Linked DNA regions of Drosophila melanogaster. The protein of the gene in region 1 interacts with the protein of each later gene in a pairwise test. Each region holds a gene or a part of one and is shown on either strand. Other genes may lie near its edges.

Evidence for each region. The genes of interacting proteins can lie anywhere in the genome.
Region 2: the proteins of Zw10 (region 1) and cal1 interact in a two-hybrid assay, tested with the Drosophila melanogaster proteins (one study listed by BioGRID).

What each region holds. Positions count from the first base shown.
Region 1 is NC_004354.4:2,602,293-2,610,604, reverse strand, and holds Zw10 (Zeste-white 10), read right to left. Parts: upstream 6,409-8,312; 5' UTR 6,303-6,408; coding exon 4,953-6,302; intron 4,892-4,952; coding exon 4,076-4,891; 3' UTR 3,781-4,075; downstream 1-3,780. Other genes in the region: eIF3g1 (eukaryotic translation initiation factor 3 subunit g1), read left to right, coding at 423-1,232; Smyd3 (SET and MYND domain containing, class 3), read left to right, coding at 1,938-2,134, 2,193-2,434, 2,502-2,635, 2,881-3,343, 3,409-3,779; Klp3A (Kinesin-like protein at 3A), read left to right, coding at 7,007-7,686, 7,760-7,911, 7,983-8,312. UniProt on the Drosophila melanogaster protein: Essential component of the mitotic checkpoint, which prevents cells from prematurely exiting mitosis. Required for the assembly of the dynein-dynactin, Mad2 complexes and spindly/CG15415 onto kinetochores.
Region 2 is NT_033777.3:17,085,302-17,094,345, reverse strand, and holds cal1 (chromosome alignment defect 1), read right to left. Parts: upstream 6,067-9,044; 5' UTR 5,945-6,066; coding exon 5,864-5,944; intron 5,807-5,863; coding exon 2,948-5,806; 3' UTR 2,408-2,947; downstream 1-2,407. Other genes in the region: cher (cheerio), read left to right, coding at 28-2,059, 2,122-2,306; GckIII (germinal centre kinase III), read right to left, coding at 6,620-8,548.

The DNA.
Region 1 (8,312 bases):
TTCTGCGCTGCGCCGCGGCCGACGCCTGCTGCGCCGCTGCCGACGACTTCACTTGATTGCTAGGGACTTAGGGAAACATTTTGTACGCTAGATTTAGTTTCAAATGATAAATTGCAATAAACGGTCGCTTGCGATCTTCAAAATCAAATCGATAACTTATTAACTTATATGTAACGAAATTTCAAATGGTATATTCCAAAAAGTGCAAAGTGGTATTAGCGGTATATTTTTTGGACACACACGGCATATTTTTGTGACCGCGGCAGGGTAACACTCTTTTGTTGCTGATTAAAAATCCGCTTAACTCGTGGCGAAATTTGCATTTACGATTTCGCATACAAATCGCGTTGAAAATCAGAGTGAGTGCACCCCAAGCAAGCGCCCAGTGTAGCCCCACTCACTGCGCCCTCAATTCCTTTCAGATGCCGGGCGTTGAAACGATCAAATCCTCCTGGGCGGACGAGGTGGAGCTCGACTATGGTGGACTACCTCCGACGACGGAGACGGTGGAGAACGGACAGAAGTACGTGACGGAGTACAAGTACAACAAGGACGACAAGAAGACGAAGGTGGTGCGCACGTACAAGATATCCAAGCAGGTGGTGCCCAAGACGGTGGCCAAGCGACGCACCTGGACGAAGTTCGGCGACTCGAAGAACGACAAGCCCGGCCCCAACTCGCAGACGACCATGGTGTCCGAGGAGATCATCATGCAGTTCCTCAACTCCAAGGAGGACGAGAAGGCCAACGATCCGCTGCTAGATCCCACCAAGAATATTGCCAAGTGCCGTATCTGCAACGGTGAGCATTGGTCGGTCAACTGCCCGTACAAGGGCACGGCGATGGACACGAATATGATGGAGAAGAAGGCTTCGGCAGCCGCCGCGGCCGCCGTCGATGCGCCCAAGTCCGGCAAGTATGTGCCGCCGTTCCTCAAGGACAGCCAAAAGGGCGCGCTGGGAATGCGCGGACGCGACGACACGGCCGCCATTAGGATATCGAATCTGTCGGAGTCGATGACCGAGGCGGATCTCGAGGAGCTGGTGAAGAAGATTGGACCGCAGAGCAAGATGTATCTCGCCCGCGACAAGAACACCGGACTCTGCAAGGGATTCGCCTACGTGCACTTCAAGCAGCGCAAGGATGCGGCCGCCGCCATCGAGATCCTCAATGGACACGGCTACGACCACTTGATCCTCAGCGTCGAATGGTCGAAACCCCAGAACAATTAGTTAGTCCCGTTCCCACTACCCGCGTTTACTGCTCATAGGAGTCCGTTCGAGTCGATCACACAATTTGTCCCTATGCTATGCTAAGTTTGCTACAAATAAATCTTAAAACAGCCCCCATGGGCACCGAAAACCAGATGACTATGCTCTGCAAGGATACAATGGCATCTAGAATCGTATATTTTTCATATTTGATATAACTTAATCGCTCTTCTTTAGTTTTGCGGACCAACCAACACAAATGCTTTCGACTTTTGCTCTAATATAGCTTTCTCCCTCGTTTTAAAGGACGCAAGGCCACCAAATCGTAGACACTGGGAACAACATATAAAAGAAATATTTTTTATTTGTTACTTAAAAAACTTGAATATGATTTGTTAAGTGTATTTTTTAACGACATGCAGCTACCCACATATGGTTAACAAGTTAACCTTACGCGGTGCCCACTGTAGAAAGCATGATTCCAGCCGATCTGGCAACGCCATCGTTTGCATGCGAATAAACACCATGGTGTTGTTGTTTTTGTGTTTGCCAGCGATTTGCGTAAATTGTGTTTGTTTTTGTGGCCAAAAATAGAAATCAGATGCCGCAAAATATTCAAAAAGCATTCGAAACAATATTTTTGATCTTCAGGTGTGCGCTCATTTTCAGTCGTCAGTGAGACGGGCCCCCAGGCGAAAGTCTTTGTTGTTGCTCCGTTCGAGCGAAATGGCCACCGCCACCGTTGGTTCATCCAGATCCGCAACCACATCCGCAACCGCATCCGCATGCTCATCCAAATCCAAGAACCTAAAGAATCCGGCGCCGCAAATAAAAAGGGGACAGCGGATCCTCACGGAGAAACCATTCGCCTTCGTCTTGAAATCACAGTACCGCCTGGAGCGGTGCGATAACTGCCTGGAGGCGTAAGTTTCGCCATGTGGCTGCCTTTGTGAGCTATCTAATTTGGGTTCGTCGTTGCAGGACCAAGGTGCTGAAGTGCTCCAACTGCAGGTATGTGTCCTACTGCCACCGCTCATGCCAGATGCAAGCTTGGGGCCAGCACAAGCACGAGTGTCCTTTCCTCAAGAAGGTGCATCCTCGAGTTGTGCCCGATGCTGCCCGAATGCTCTGCCGACTGATCCTGCGCCTGGAGCACGGCGGAGACCTGATCCGCGGCTATTACACCGAGCACGGCTCCCGCAAGTTTCGCGATCTCATGTCCCGTGAGTAAACCAAAGGGCGAACCGCTTTGCATGGTCATTCCTAGCTAATCCACGTTAACGTGCACAGATTACGCCGAAATCAAGAACGATCCCATGCGACTGGAGCACTTGGACTCGCTGCATGCCGTCCTCACCGATATGATGGCCGAGAGTCCCAGCACGGTGCCAAACAAGACGGAACTGATGAGCATCTATGGTCGCGTAAGTGTGCAGGCACCTGTGCGAGCGAGCAGGAGCGGATTGGGCGATTCATCGCACTGGTACTGAATCGAGAAACCAAGACGCTTGCGTATGCAGCCGCTCCTGGTCGCCCAAATTAGATAGCAATCAATGATGTATGCCTGGCGCTCTGCCAGTCAATTGATTATCTAGGAAGGGCTTCGGTTCACATTCCCCGGCGCACAGTTACGCGGGAGCTCATGCTCTTTCTTCTCTGCTCTTTGCAGCTGATCACCAATGGCTTCAATATCTTGGACGCCGAGATGAACTCAATTGCCACGGCCATATATCTGGGCGTCTCGATTACGGACCATAGCTGCCAGCCAAATGCGGTCGCCACCTTCGAGGGCAACGAGCTGCACGTCCACGCGATCGAGGACATGGAATGCCTGGACTGGTCGAAAATCTTCATCAGCTACATCGACCTGCTCAATACGCCGGAGCAGAGGCGTCTGGACCTCAAGGAGCACTACTACTTCCTATGCGTGTGCAGCAAGTGCACGGATGCCAAGGAATCGAAGGAGATGCTGGCTGCCCTGTGTCCCAATCGCAACTGCGGTGCGGGAATCAGTGTGGACCGCAATAATTGCCCGCGATGCGATGCCGGCATCAGTCCCAAGTTGAGAAATGCCTTCAACGAGGCGATGACTCTGACCCGGCACAATCTGGAGAACATGAAGGACGTGGCCTGTGAGTAGATGCGACGAAATGGAATTAGCTCCATAATAAGCACATTTTCACTCTCTCGATCACAGATCTCGATGTGTGCAAGGTGTGTCTGGACAAGCAGACTGGCGTGTTCCATCCCCTGAATGTGTGGTACGTCAAGACGCTCGATGCGGCCTTCGAAGCAGCCATCGAAGTGGGCAAGTGGAGCGACGCCCTGGATTACGGGCAACGTTTGCTGCCAGGCTTTCGAAAATACCACGGACCCTGGAATCCGCTATTGGGCCTGCTTCACATGAAGCTGGGCAAGATTCAGCTCTACGAGGGCCATTCCAAGGAGGCACTGCACCATCTGGAGGAGGCCCAACGCATCCTAACCGTCACCCACGGCCGAGATCACAGACTGCTTACTGAGCAGCTATACATGCTCGTTCTACAAGCGCGACAAGAGGCGCACTAATGGGATTTAGTTGTTTTTATTCATTTAAATAAGTCTTAAGTTAAATATTGTGTTGCGTTGCGGGAAGAATGGAATGGATTTTTGTGGATAATTACTTTTCTATGTACAACAGAAACCATTCGGAGAATTAAAGATTATCAAATTCTATTACTTTTGGCATTTGTGGTAAACAATTCAAGGAATTAAAGTAAGGACACATTGATGGTGATCATCAAATTTAGACTCCGTTTACCACCTCAAATGTGATGTCTATCCGCCGTTCAACATTCCTCGCTCGCAAAAAAGGCGCACGCGCCCTATACAATCTGCGTAATGGCCTTGGCCCGCCAATCCGTATCCTGGAACAACGCCCTGATTAGGTGCTTTATCTCATCCGACTTGTAGCTGGCGGTCAGCGGGCCGACGCCGTCGCCCCACAGCTCTGTGATCTCCATGAGCGACGCGTTCAGCATGGCCTTCAGTTGCTGCAGCTTAAGCCAAGAGAGCACCTGGACCACCTCGTTTGGTTCGCGGAAAAGCGTGGGCGCCCGCTGGAGCACCACGTCAATGAGATCGCTCAGCTCACAGGCCATCTGTGCGGAAATGTCGCGCAGCGTGAACACTCGACGGATTAGCTCGGCGACAAATGTGTTGATTAGCTCGCAGAAGGTTGCATTGTACACGGTCTCCGGGAGCACATTGGCCCACACGTTCTTCAGCAGCTCCAGCTGGCGAAGGCACTGACGCACCAGCTTCAGTGGACCAGAGCCCAGCGTGTGCGTGCTCTCGAACTCGAACTCCTGCATGATGCCCATCAGGATGGAGGATTGGTAGTCGACCTGCACGCGGAAATGCTGCTGACCGGTGGCCTGCAGTGTCTTGGCCAGCGCCGCCAAGCTTTCGATGCCCTTGTTCGCATGCTGCGCTACCCAGTGTGTGAAGAACATACAATTGTTGTGGAACAGGACGGCCTGCTGTGGAATGCTCTCGAGCAGCTTGCGGTGCACCTTGGGCACCTCATTGATGTAGGTGTGCAGCATGATGGAAATGACGCCGGCTATGGGATCGGCCTCTTGGTCGCCCAGTTTATCCGTGGGCTGGCGAAGAATGCGGTCCATTAGTTTGACAAAGTCCTGCCGGCGAAAATGAATCCATTAGTGCGTAATCAATCGTTTCGTTTAGCGAACGACTTACCTGAGCACTTTTCGAGATCATGCAGCGTGGGAAGAGGAAGGGATCGTTTGCCACTTCGGCTGAGTGGTTGTTGGGCGCCACCAGCACCATGTCCTGCAGATCGCGCTGGATGATCTCCCGCGCCGTTTCCAGAACTCGACGATACATCCGATTGCGGTAGTAGGTCTCGTACTTCTCTACAAACTGCCCTAGGGCTCGATCTTGCTCGGGATTGATGATGAATGAGTCTACAAGCAGCTGCTCCAGCTGGGCGACATCCTCACACAGCGTGGATGTCTGATACTCCTCCGTGCTTTCGGGCACAGCTGGTATCAGGCACTCGTCCACCAGTAATTTCAGCATTTTATCCTTCACATGATCGCCAATAATGCCAAAAACATGTTGGTCCCTGGACACACTGCAGTTGATCCCGGCCAGCGTGTGCAGCAGCAGCCTGAGGTTCTCCAAGACCTGCTTGTAGTTCGGGCGAAGCTGCGCTGAGCTGGGCTCCTTGGTGGCGTAGGAAAGCGACAATCGAACGTAGGTGCCACCATCGGCTTCTTCGCTGTAATCGGCCATCACTGGGCGCATGATCACCGGTTCTATGCAATTGTCCAGCAGGAATTCGCAGAGGCGCGCCGGATTGTAGGGCTCCTGGAAGAGAGCCTGCACAATATCCTGCAGCTGCGTTTGATCCCGGCTCACCTGCAAGGTGACGCAACGCGATGTGGGAAAGGATTTGCACTGCAGCTGCACCAGGCGATCGAAGCGCTCCTGGAGGCTCTGCTGCAGCATATATGCCTGTACATGGTATTTCACCTTGATGGTCTCGTAGCACTCGAGAGCCTTAAAGATGCGTCGAACCTCTGGCGTGGCCACCTGCGCGTCCCCGTCAACGGAATCATCGCCATAGATGAAAGCCCTCAAACGACCGACAAGGTCCAGTAACACCAAGTAATCCTTGGTGGCCTTGGCCTCCTCCACGCACTGGAACAGCTCGTCGATCCTTAGCACATGCTCGCTGACACCCAGACCCAAAAGGATCTCTCGCAGCTGCCTGCCGTTACCCGCCATCTTGACATTCGCCTCGTCCAAGGCGTCCAGTCCCTCGGAACCCAAGTTCTCGAGCATGTCGTGAATCTCGCGATTCAAGGACCCCGACTCCTCCAGAAATATGTCCGGCGACGTGTTGTTGGGCAAAAACTCCGTGTAGTTGTCTTCGATGTGCTTGCGGACGCGCATCTGGAAGCGATTAACGCGCGTCAGCACTTTTAATATGGCCGATTGGGTGGCCTCCACGTTGGCGCACCCGTTCCCATTGCCGTTGAACGCCTCCTCCAGCACATTGAACCGCGGCGCCTCTTCCTCCATGTCCTGCTCTTTGACCAGATCCTCCTTTTCCAATTCTTGCGAAACCCAAGACAACTGGTTTCTGCAATTCCCTGTTGCTACCAACGATTGTTCAAAAAAGCGATAGATATGTGCGGCTGTCTGCTATCGGCTATCGGCGAATTGGCTAGTTGACAAGAATTGGGCTCTTATCACTGGCAGTAGCTAAAATAGTTGTAGATCTAGGTAGCTTTTATTTTTATGTATAAGTATGTAGATACACTGTCAATGATTCATTTTGTCAAATCGGCGTGCACAAATCGTCCAACCACATTTTTGCAAATGTGCTATTCAAGAGCCAAATTATAAAAAAATCGAAATCTTTCTACACCGGCACCTCCGTCGATCGCGCCACTAATCGACATCTGCAACGAATCGATAACAACGCCATTTTTAAAAATACTGGCAGAAATGCATTTGCTTCTTAGCGTCGCGTTTCATTAGTTTAGTTCCTTGATCCAAAAATCGAATTCATTGAGAGTGCCGGGCTGCGCGTGGAGAAGCCGCGTTGCTCCAAAATCTAGACCAACCAAAATTCTAAGTTTTTGTAAGTGCTAACCAGTTGATCAGTTAACCAAAGTCGGACTTGCTGTGCCCCAGAGAAGGTAAGTGGTTGGTGGTGTTGGTCGAGATGGCGGTAAAGGTGATGGAATGTTATGATTGTCCTTCCCTCCCCCTACCCCCAGATGTCCAGCGAGGATCCCAGCTGTGTGGCAGTGGCCTTGCGCGTGCGCCCCTTGGTGCAGTCCGAGTTGGATCGCGGCTGCCGGATTGCCGTCGAACGATCGGCGGATGGAGCGCCACAGGTTACAGTCAACCGGAATGAGTCGTATACGTACAACTATGTCTTCGACATTGACGACTCGCAAAAGGATCTATTCGAGACGTGTGTACAGGCCAAAGTGAAAAAGCTGTTAAATGGCTATAACGTAACAATCTTGGCATATGGACAAACGGGTTCCGGAAAGACCTACACTATGGGCACCGCCTTCAACGGAGTGTTAGATGACCATGTGGGCGTTATACCACGCGCCGTTCATGATATATTCACAGCCATTGCGGAAATGCAGAGCGAATTTCGTTTTGCTGTCACATGCTCTTTTGTGGAGCTCTACCAGGAGCAGTTCTATGACCTTTTTTCGTCGAAAACTCGGGACAAGGCCACCGTAGACATCAGGGAGGTCAAGAACCGTATTATCATGCCGGGCCTCACCGAGCTAGTGGTCACATCCGCCCAGCAAGTGACCGATCATCTGATCCGCGGCTCAGCCGGACGGGCTGTGGCCGCCACGGCTATGAATGAAACCTCTTCAAGATCCCATGCCATATTCACATTGACGCTAGTAGCCACCAAGCTGGACGGCAAGTATGTTGTGGGCCGCCATCACCTCGTTAGAATACTTAATGCTTATACACATTTGACCTCCAATCTCCGATAGGCAATCCGTTACCACGTCCAGGTTCAACCTGGTGGATCTGGCTGGTTCTGAACGCTGCTCAAAGACCCTAGCCAGCGGCGATCGGTTCAAAGAGGGTGTGAACATCAATAAGGGTCTTCTGGCCCTGGGCAACGTGATCAATGCCCTGGGATGTGAGTATCTATCATTTAGCCACTGGCTTGAAAATTGATCTCCATTTTTATATATTCCATATAAATTGCAGCTGGCCAGGCCGCTGGCTACATACCCTATCGCCAGTCCAAGCTGACGCGTCTGCTGCAGGACTCCCTGGGCGGTAATTCCATTACGCTGATGATTGCTTGCGTCAGTCCCGCCGACTACAACGTGGCCGAGACATTGAGCACCCTACGCTATGCGGATCGAGCACTGCAAATCAAAAACAAGCCAGTGGTCAATCTCGATCCGCATGCGGCGGAGGTTAATATGCTGAAGGACGTCATCCAAAAGCTGCGTGTAGAGCTATTGTCGGGCGGCAAGATGAGCAGTTCCTTAATTAGCGCTGTTGGAGCCGCAGGCTTGGGTGCCATTCCCT
Region 2 (9,044 bases), on another chromosome or scaffold:
TTTTACTTATAAATACCAACTTTGCAGATCAACTACCATGACAACAAAGACGGCACTGTATCTGTGCAATACCTGCCCACTGCTCCTGGCGAGTACCAGGTGTCCGTTCGCTTCGGCGATAAGCACATCAAGGGATCGCCGTACTTCGCCAAGATCACCGGCGAGGGTCGCAAGCGCAACCAGATCTCGGTTGGCTCCTGCTCCGAAGTGACCATGCCCGGCGACATTACCGATGACGATCTGCGCGCTTTGAACGCCTCGATCCAGGCGCCCAGTGGCCTGGAGGAGCCCTGCTTCCTGAAGCGCATGCCCACTGGCAACATTGGCATCTCGTTCACGCCCCGCGAGATTGGCGAGCATCTGGTGTCGGTGAAGCGTCTGGGCAAGCACATCAACAACTCACCATTTAAGGTGACTGTCTGCGAGCGCGAGGTGGGCGACGCCAAGAAGGTCAAGGTTAGCGGAACTGGCCTCAAGGAGGGTCAAACCCATGCCGACAACATCTTCTCCGTGGACACGAGGAACGCCGGCTTCGGTGGTCTTTCGGTCTCCATTGAGGGTCCCAGCAAGGCTGAGATCCAGTGCACGGATAAGGATGACGGTACTCTCAACATCTCGTACAAGCCCACTGAGCCGGGCTACTACATTGTTAACCTGAAGTTCGCCGATCACCACGTGGAGGGTTCTCCTTTCACCGTCAAGGTTGCCGGCGAGGGCAGCAACCGCAAGCGCGAGAAGATCCAGCGGGAGCGCGATGCTGTTCCAATCACGGAAATCGGAAGCCAGTGCAAGCTGACATTCAAGATGCCGGGCATTACCTCGTTCGATCTGGCCGCCTGTGTCACCTCGCCTAGCAACGTGACCGAGGATGCGGAGATCCAAGAGGTGGAGGATGGCCTCTACGCAGTGCACTTTGTGCCCAAGGAGTTGGGCGTGCACACGGTGTCGGTGCGCTATTCCGAGATGCACATACCCGGATCACCGTTCCAGTTCACCGTGGGACCACTGCGCGACTCCGGCAGCCATCTTGTTAAGGCTGGAGGCTCTGGTCTGGAGCGAGGTGTTGTCGGAGAGGCGGCCGAGTTCAATGTGTGGACCCGCGAGGCAGGCGGTGGTTCCCTGGCCATTTCCGTGGAAGGTCCCAGCAAGGCTGACATCGAGTTTAAGGACCGCAAGGACGGCAGCTGCGATGTGTCGTACAAGGTCACCGAACCGGGAGAGTACCGCGTGGGCCTGAAATTCAACGATCGCCACATACCCGACTCACCATTCAAGGTGTACGTCTCCCCGGATGCGGGTGATGCCCACAAGCTGGAGGTTCAGCAGTTCCCGCAGGGTAACATCCAGGCGGACGCTCCCTACCAATTCATGGTCCGCAAGAACGGTGCCAAGGGTGAGCTGGATGCCAAGATTGTGGCTCCATCCGGAACGGACGATGATTGCTTCATCCAGGTGATCGACGGCGAGATGTACTCGGTGCGATTCTATCCACGCGAGAACGGAATCCATGCCATCCACGTCAAGTTCAACGGCGTCCACATACCCGACTCTCCATTCAGGATCAAGGTGGGCAAGGATGTGGCCGATCCAGCTGCCGTGCACGCCAGCGGCAATGGATTGGACGAAGTGAAGACTGGACACAAGGCCGACTTCATCATCAACACCTGCAACGCCGGCGTTGGCACGTTGGCCGTCTCCATCGATGGACCCTCCAAGGTGGCCATGGACTGCACAGAGGTTGAGGAGGGCTACAAGGTCCGCTACACCCCGCTCCTGCCCGGCGAGCACTACATCACGGTCAAGTACAACAACATGCACATCGTGGGCTCGCCATTCAAGGTGAACGCTACCGGCGACAAGTTAGCGGATGAGGGCGCCCAGGAGACGTCCACGGTGATCGTGGAGACCGTGCAGAAGGTGGCCAAAGGAGGCAAGAACACGGGCGTCCATCTGCCCACCTTTAAGTCGGATGCCAGCAAGGTGGTGTCCAAGGGTATGGGCCTGAAGAAGGCCTACATTGGCAAGCAGAACCAGTTCAGCATCAGCGCCACCGATGCGGGTGAGTAATATTCATACCCATTTTAAACTTGATGTTATAATATATCCTGCTTTTGTTAAAAGGCAACAACATCCTGTACGTGGGCATGTACGGACCAAAGGGACCCTGCGAGGAGTTCCACGTGAAGCACGCTGGCCACAACAACTATAATGTGCAGTATCTGGTGCGCGATCGCGGCCAGTACGTGCTCCTAATCAAGTGGGGCGAGGAGCATATACCCGGCTCCCCATTCCAGATCGATGTGTAGGGCGCTATATAGCCGGCCAGGCATATGTGTACGTGTAGATATATGCTTCGCATGTGTATGTGTGTGGGCGCGCATGTTCCAGGGTCAAAAGTCGTGTGTTTCTTGTTTTCATCATAACGCTCTTTGTTTAATTTTAATTTCTTGATTTATCATCATATTTTAGGTAAGTTTTTGTTATTTGTACATACATGGAAGGAAGAAGCTTCTGTTTTTCGACGCGCCATTTTCACTCTTTAAATTGATCTTACGTTTTATTTGTTTTCTTGTGAATACATAAAATTAACAATTGCCGATATGAATTTTGATAGACTTCATGGAAACGAACTAAAGCACAACTTCGACACACAAGAATTACTATTGCAATGCGAATAAATCTCTTAAACAATTATTTAATACTTAAGCGAAAAATTTATGATGATTAAAATGATTATGACGTATTATGTTTTCTATTATCACTATCGATCATGTAATTTACGTGAAATAAATCAAAACACAAAAAAATGAACTAAATACAACTTTTCTTATATAATTTCTTTTGCAAGGACGTGTTTAACACCACCAAGAAATCCGTCATGTACAACCAAAACATGAACCTAATATATTTAAAAAATAGGTCTGAAATATGAAACCTAACTACTTAATTACTTGTCACCGGAATTATTCTCGAGTATGCTGTACACCGTTCCATATCGATTGATTTGCTCGAAGATGTCATCATCGCTTGCACTTGAGCCCGAGATGTTCCCGATGTTCTGCGCATCCTGCGGTGCACTGAGAGCTGCGGCGAGTTGGGGAGTCGGCTGATAGTAAACCGAGTGTCGGCTATCAAAGCTCCGACTGCCGATGTGGTACTTCAGGTACTTGCGGGCCCAACGTTCTCCAATAATCTTTCCGAGTCCCTGCTCGGTCAGTGTGAAGCTGGCGCCTTCCGGCGCGGAAGGGCTGTGCAGCAGAATGCCGCGCTTGGTGATCTTGATGGTCGCTGGAATCTCTTGTCGTTCACTTGCAGGCGGTTCGCAGCCAGTGGTAGATGTAACTACAGTGCAGTCAGGATCCCCGCCTGTGGGGCTGCCCATCTCTTCCAAACTGCTCGTTGGGGAGCTCGAGCTGTTCGTCGCTGTCTTCTCCTCCGTAGTGCTAACAGCGGCTGCCCTCTTGACTCCTCGTCTCTTGGGAAGCACGCGGTAGCAAGCCGTGTCGTTGGCCAGAGCTGTGGAGTTGCACGCTACGCTTTGATTGTTGAATACCGTCATTGATTTCTCTGCAGGTGATTGGGGCTGCTTATTAGATGGCTCCCTTTTCGTTTTTTTGCGCTTCTGTTGTTCCTCCTTGTAGGTGGCCTTCGACATAGCCAGGGCTATTTGCAGATCATCCTCCGAGTTTGATGCCCCATCACCACCTTGCTTTAAAATGCTTGCCGTAGTTGAACATTGTGGTTTAGGTTTTGCCAGTACTTCTGATGATACATCGGACTCCTCTTCCCTGACTTGCTCTAACTTCGAAGTCGAAGTCACAGAAGAAGTTGTTTTCGTTTTTTCTGACTTTTTCAATCTCGAAGTAGACGGTTTTCCGGTCGCACCTGTCTTTCTAACTGACTGCTTTTTTGCCTTAGCTGCAACTTGTTTTTCAGATAAGGTTTCAGTGCTGTTTTTTTCCAGGATTTCGTTGTTAGTAATAATACTCTTTGGAATTTCGGACTTTTTACCAGAAACCCTTTTCTGTTTGGTAGACTTTTCAACGGCAGTCTTAGTCGATGAGTTCTCCATGTGCATGAAATCCTTATTTCTGTCGTCGAAAGATTCTCTTCCAATACAATTATCCACTTTTTCCATAAGACTCGATGCCTTTTCGTCAGCTATAGGGATTGTTGATATCAGCTGCTGTAATTCATTTCCGTTGAGTGGTGAAGTTTCCCTAATACCCCTCTTAGGCGCTTTCTTTGCTGGAGATTCAAATGTTGCAGATGTACCACTTGATCCGTCAATAGATACGCTTTTCATATGAGCAACTGGAAGATACGTGGATTCAATTGGAGAGTTCGTTGCAGTCGGCCCTTCTTCTTGTATTTGTGCCAAACCATTGGGACGCGCTTCTTTTCTTATAGCCTTCTTCGCCGAGGAAGTAGGATGGGTAATCTTACCAGCGGCATTTGGAGTTGGAAATGTCATTCCTTTTTTTTTATCCGAACAGCATAGCAATCCTTTTTTAGCCAAGGCGTTATCTTCATCGGAAGACTCACTATCAAACATTTGCATATACTTTTCTTTCGATAAGACCAATTTGGAAACAGAGGTAGCTTTCGAACTCAGTGGCTTTTGTTCGTGACCTTTGGAGCATACCGGTTGATGACTAACTTTCCTGGCATCCATCGGTTGGTGCTTTTGCTTCCTAGTCTTTTCCTGTGTCTCCTGGGTCAAATGATTACTTCTGTTCTCCACCACCCACTCTTCGGTTGAGCTATTGGCAATGTGAATGACATTGGAGCATAGGCGGTCACTATTGCAGCAACTACACTCGTTCTCTGGCAGCCTTGGTCTCAAGTCCATTTCCATATCGAAGGTGTGTTGGCGGCGCATGGTGTGCATGGTTCGAGATGCCATCTGACGGTGGTGATACTCGCGTTGACCTCTGCCGTACGGGCAGGACTGGTAGACACTTCTAGACAGAGCGTAATGCCTCCGGCAGGAGTGGCAGTCGCAGCCGCCGAATGATGTATCCTCCTCGCTGCTGGATGCCGAGTCAAACATCCAGGAGTTTATGCGCCGCTTACGCAGATTCTTGCGTCTCATATGATGGCCGCTGGAGTAGACGCATTGCATCGGCGTAGACGCCAGATATGCAAGCTGGCGCTCCCTCTCACGTCGGCGAAGCAACACGGCCTGCATGTGGTGACGATGCTCCTGCTCGTCACCATAGGCGTACTTTGCCCGCAACTCGTCTCGTTTGTGAGAGTGTTTACGGTACATCTTAATGGTGGTCATGTTCTTGTTGGTCATGTGAGCATTGCGCCGACGACTCTGCTGGATGTAGCGAGCCGTGTCGATGGAGTGCATCGATTCGTCGCTTTCGTCTGAGATTGAGTTGTGGTGCGGTGGAAGGTACTTTGGTGGTGAGGCCTCCAGGTAGACGCTGTTGTGCCTTCGCATCCAGCGGCCCACATGGTGTTCGATCTGCTTTTCATCAAAAGTGTCCAGAATGCGATCCAGTCCCGCCTCCCGCCACTTGCGCTTGTGCTCCTCGACCACCGGCACCGTTTGATTAAGGATTTCCTCGATCTCCGCCTTTGCCTCGTTATCCTCATTGGCGCAAAGTATAAGTGTCAGTTCTGTAACGCTGGTGGCGTTGATATGGCCCATTTCAAGCTTTGCCTCGTCGGGCACATTGTCCTCCACAGCCTCCTTTGCCACGTCATCCAGGTCGGGGTCCTCGTCCTCGCCGTGGAACAAGTTGTCGAACTCGGCCACATCTATTTCCATGCCGTCTTCCAGGCTGGCAAAATCCTATAAAACAATATCGTCCATCAAGAAGAGACGCCACTTGGGTTTCTACGGACTCACCGCCATTTTACTGGACCAGGCCTTAGAGCGCTCGTAGACCATTGCCTCCAGTGTTTCCTCGTCCACCACCGCATTCGCCATGGTTATGTAGTTATCAGTTCACGGAATACTTGATTAAAATTTATAAAAACTAAAAGAAATCTTAAAACACAAAAATAAAGAGTCAACAAAAATGGCGTTGCCACTGGTGTTACCGTCTCCAAGGCGCCAAAAAATACACCAAAACGCGACTTAACTAAACACGTCCCATTTTTATTTATATAAAACAAATAGAAAACTTGGGTTCCTCATTTCCAATAAGGTCGTTTTGATGTTCTATTTGCACGGCTTTTTGATTATAATTATTATTTATTTAACGATATCCTGTTTATTCAATTTATTTATTTTTTTATTTACTGCATTTTTCGCTAGCGTCCAGCGTTGCCAGATCAAATGAATACTCGGAGTCACCAATGATGCCAAGTTCGCATTAGCGCGCCAAAATCGAATTGTTTATTTTTGTGGGGTTTTTATTTTGAAGTTATATATGTTTTACATTAGATTAATATTGCAGATAAACAAACGAATACATATTATATGCTTAAATAACTGTTCAATTGAAATACATGTACATCGCTCCCGGTCCTCTGTTGGCCACTAAATGTCGGAATATGTCTGCTCCAGCGTTTCAGTTTGTGTTGTCTCGGTGTCGTTAATAAAGTTGTGTATATATTAAAATAGGCTGCTTGGAATCGGAATTTGCTACGGCTTCGCCAGCTACTTGCGGTTGCGTATGGCGCGGTCCATGATCGTATTGATTCGCGTCTCCGAGTAACCAGGAACGAGCATGTGGATCAGCTCTTTCATAAATAGGTCGCTCACTCCCGGACTGGAACGTTCGGCCAGCTCGAACACAGACTTCAGGTCGCCGATGTCGCTGCCGACGCCTATGTTACGGCCGCCTGATCCTCCGCTTCCTGCAGATCCTCCGCCGGAGTACTTTCGCTGGATGTCGCTCAGCACGGGGAAGAGGAAGTTGTTCAGACAGGCGCTGTTCGTTTGGACTAGGCGTTGTCCCGCCCCAGAGTGCTTGACATGGCTGGCATGGTTGGTGGCCACATGCTCCTCGTGGCTGTGGTTGTTGCTACTGCTGCTGCAGCTGGCAACCAGCGCGGCGTTATTTGCATGGAATGATTCACGTTGGCTGCTGCGGCGCTGTTGCTGCTGCTCAGCCGTCGATGGAGTCGGAACCGACGACTGCAATGGCAGGCCCAAAGAGGCACGGCGATCCTCTACTTGATCCAGAGGGGCGGCGGATCGCGACTGGCGCAGCTCCGGCTTCGAGCTGGAACGCTTCTGCTGCAGCTCACTGGCCGACGACGAGCTTGTGACGCTGCTCGGCGGAGGAGCTGCGTTCAGCATGGTGGTGGTGGCATGCTTGTTGCTCAAGTTTCTGATGTTATTGTTGTTAATGTTGTTGTGGTTGTGGTTGTGGACGTGACTGTTCTGGGGGGGCAGGGCGGATGCAGAGGAGACACCTTCGTTGGCTGTAATGACCGATACGGAGGAAGCTGACGCCGCCACGGCGGACACAGAGGACGATAATGCATTTGCAGCAGGGGACGCTTGCACGCCACCACCGCCGGCTGGCGAGTGTGTGGTCTGCATCAGCTTCTGCATGGTTAGCTCGTGCTCCTGCAACTGGAAGCTGTTGACACCCGCCCGCGGAGCACTGTTGATATGCAGGCCCTTGACGGTCATGATCCAGGGCTCATCCTGGCTGCTGCCGCCCTGCTTGGCGTCCGAGTCCGAGTCAGAGTTCTCAGACTCCGTCTCACTTTCGTCGCCCTTGGAGACCTTCCACTTCTTGAAGCGGTCGATCAGGTCAATCAGATAGGCGTTCTTCTTGGCCTTCTTGATGAACGGGTACTTGAGCAGCTCCTTGGCCGTGGGCCTGTTCTCCGGGTCCTTGTTTAGGCAGGCCTCCACAAAGTCCTTAAAAGACTTGGTATAGCTGCCCGTCAGCTGGGGTGGATTGTTCTTGGGGATGAGGAAGAGCACGCGCATCGGATGCAGCTCCGAATTGGGCGGCTCACCCTTGGCCAGTTCGATAGCCGTGATGCCCAACGACCAGATGTCCGCCTTGGCATCGTACTGTGACTGCTTGATCACCTCGGGCGCCATCCAAAAGGGCGTGCCCACGAAGGTGTTCCTCTTGGATGTGGTGTTGGTCAGCTGGCCAGCGACTCCAAAGTCCGCCAGCTTGACATCGCCCTGTTCGCTCAACAGAACATTGGCCGCCTTGATGTCGCGATGCAGCTTGCGCTCCGAGTGCAGGTAGTCCAGGCCCTTAAGCACTTCGCGCAATATGATCCCGATGTGCATTTCCTCGAAGGAGCCGGCCTTCATGAGGTCCAAGGCGGATCCACCGCCCAGGTACTCCATGATGATCCATAACTTGGTGCCCTTAAGAAAGCTGCCATAGTACTTCGTCACGTACGGCGAGTCGCACTGCGACAGCACCATGATCTCCTGCTGGATGTCGTCGATCTCATCTTCGGCCTCCTCCAGATCGATGATCTTGATGGCCACCACTTGCTGGGTGCGGTTGTCGATGCCCTTGAACACCTCGCCGAAGGAGCCCTTGCCGATGCGCTCCTGCTTGGTGAAGATGAGCTCTGGATCGACTTTCTCCGTCCAGGACATGTTTCCTATCTGGTTTCTACTTCCCACTTCGTGGCTTCTGGCTCTCCTCCTCCACCTCCTTCTGGATTCACGGGTTTCCTTGTTACTCCGCTGGCTCTCGACTGGCTTGTGTTGGACCCAACTGGACTGAACTGTTCTGCGGGCTATTTGGTGGCTGAACTACTCTGCGGGGGCACTTGACTAATAATTTTTTCGTTGGTATCTCATCTAATCCGAGAAATCTCTCTTTTTTTTGCTGTATCGCAGCAGTATCGAATACCGATTGAATATCGATATTCTCCTGTCGATATCGATATCTTTCCAGCTGTTGATTAGAGCCGCCAGCCGAAAAATAAATATTAAAATTAATTTTTTATTTTAATTGTAATAATATTTATTTCACGATTCGTATGTATTTTCTTAACTCTGGCAGAGCAATTCTTATTCTTTCACTAATATAATAGTTATTAATTTCCCTAAGATTATTTAACTCGTTAGCAGTTCCGAAAAGCTTAAA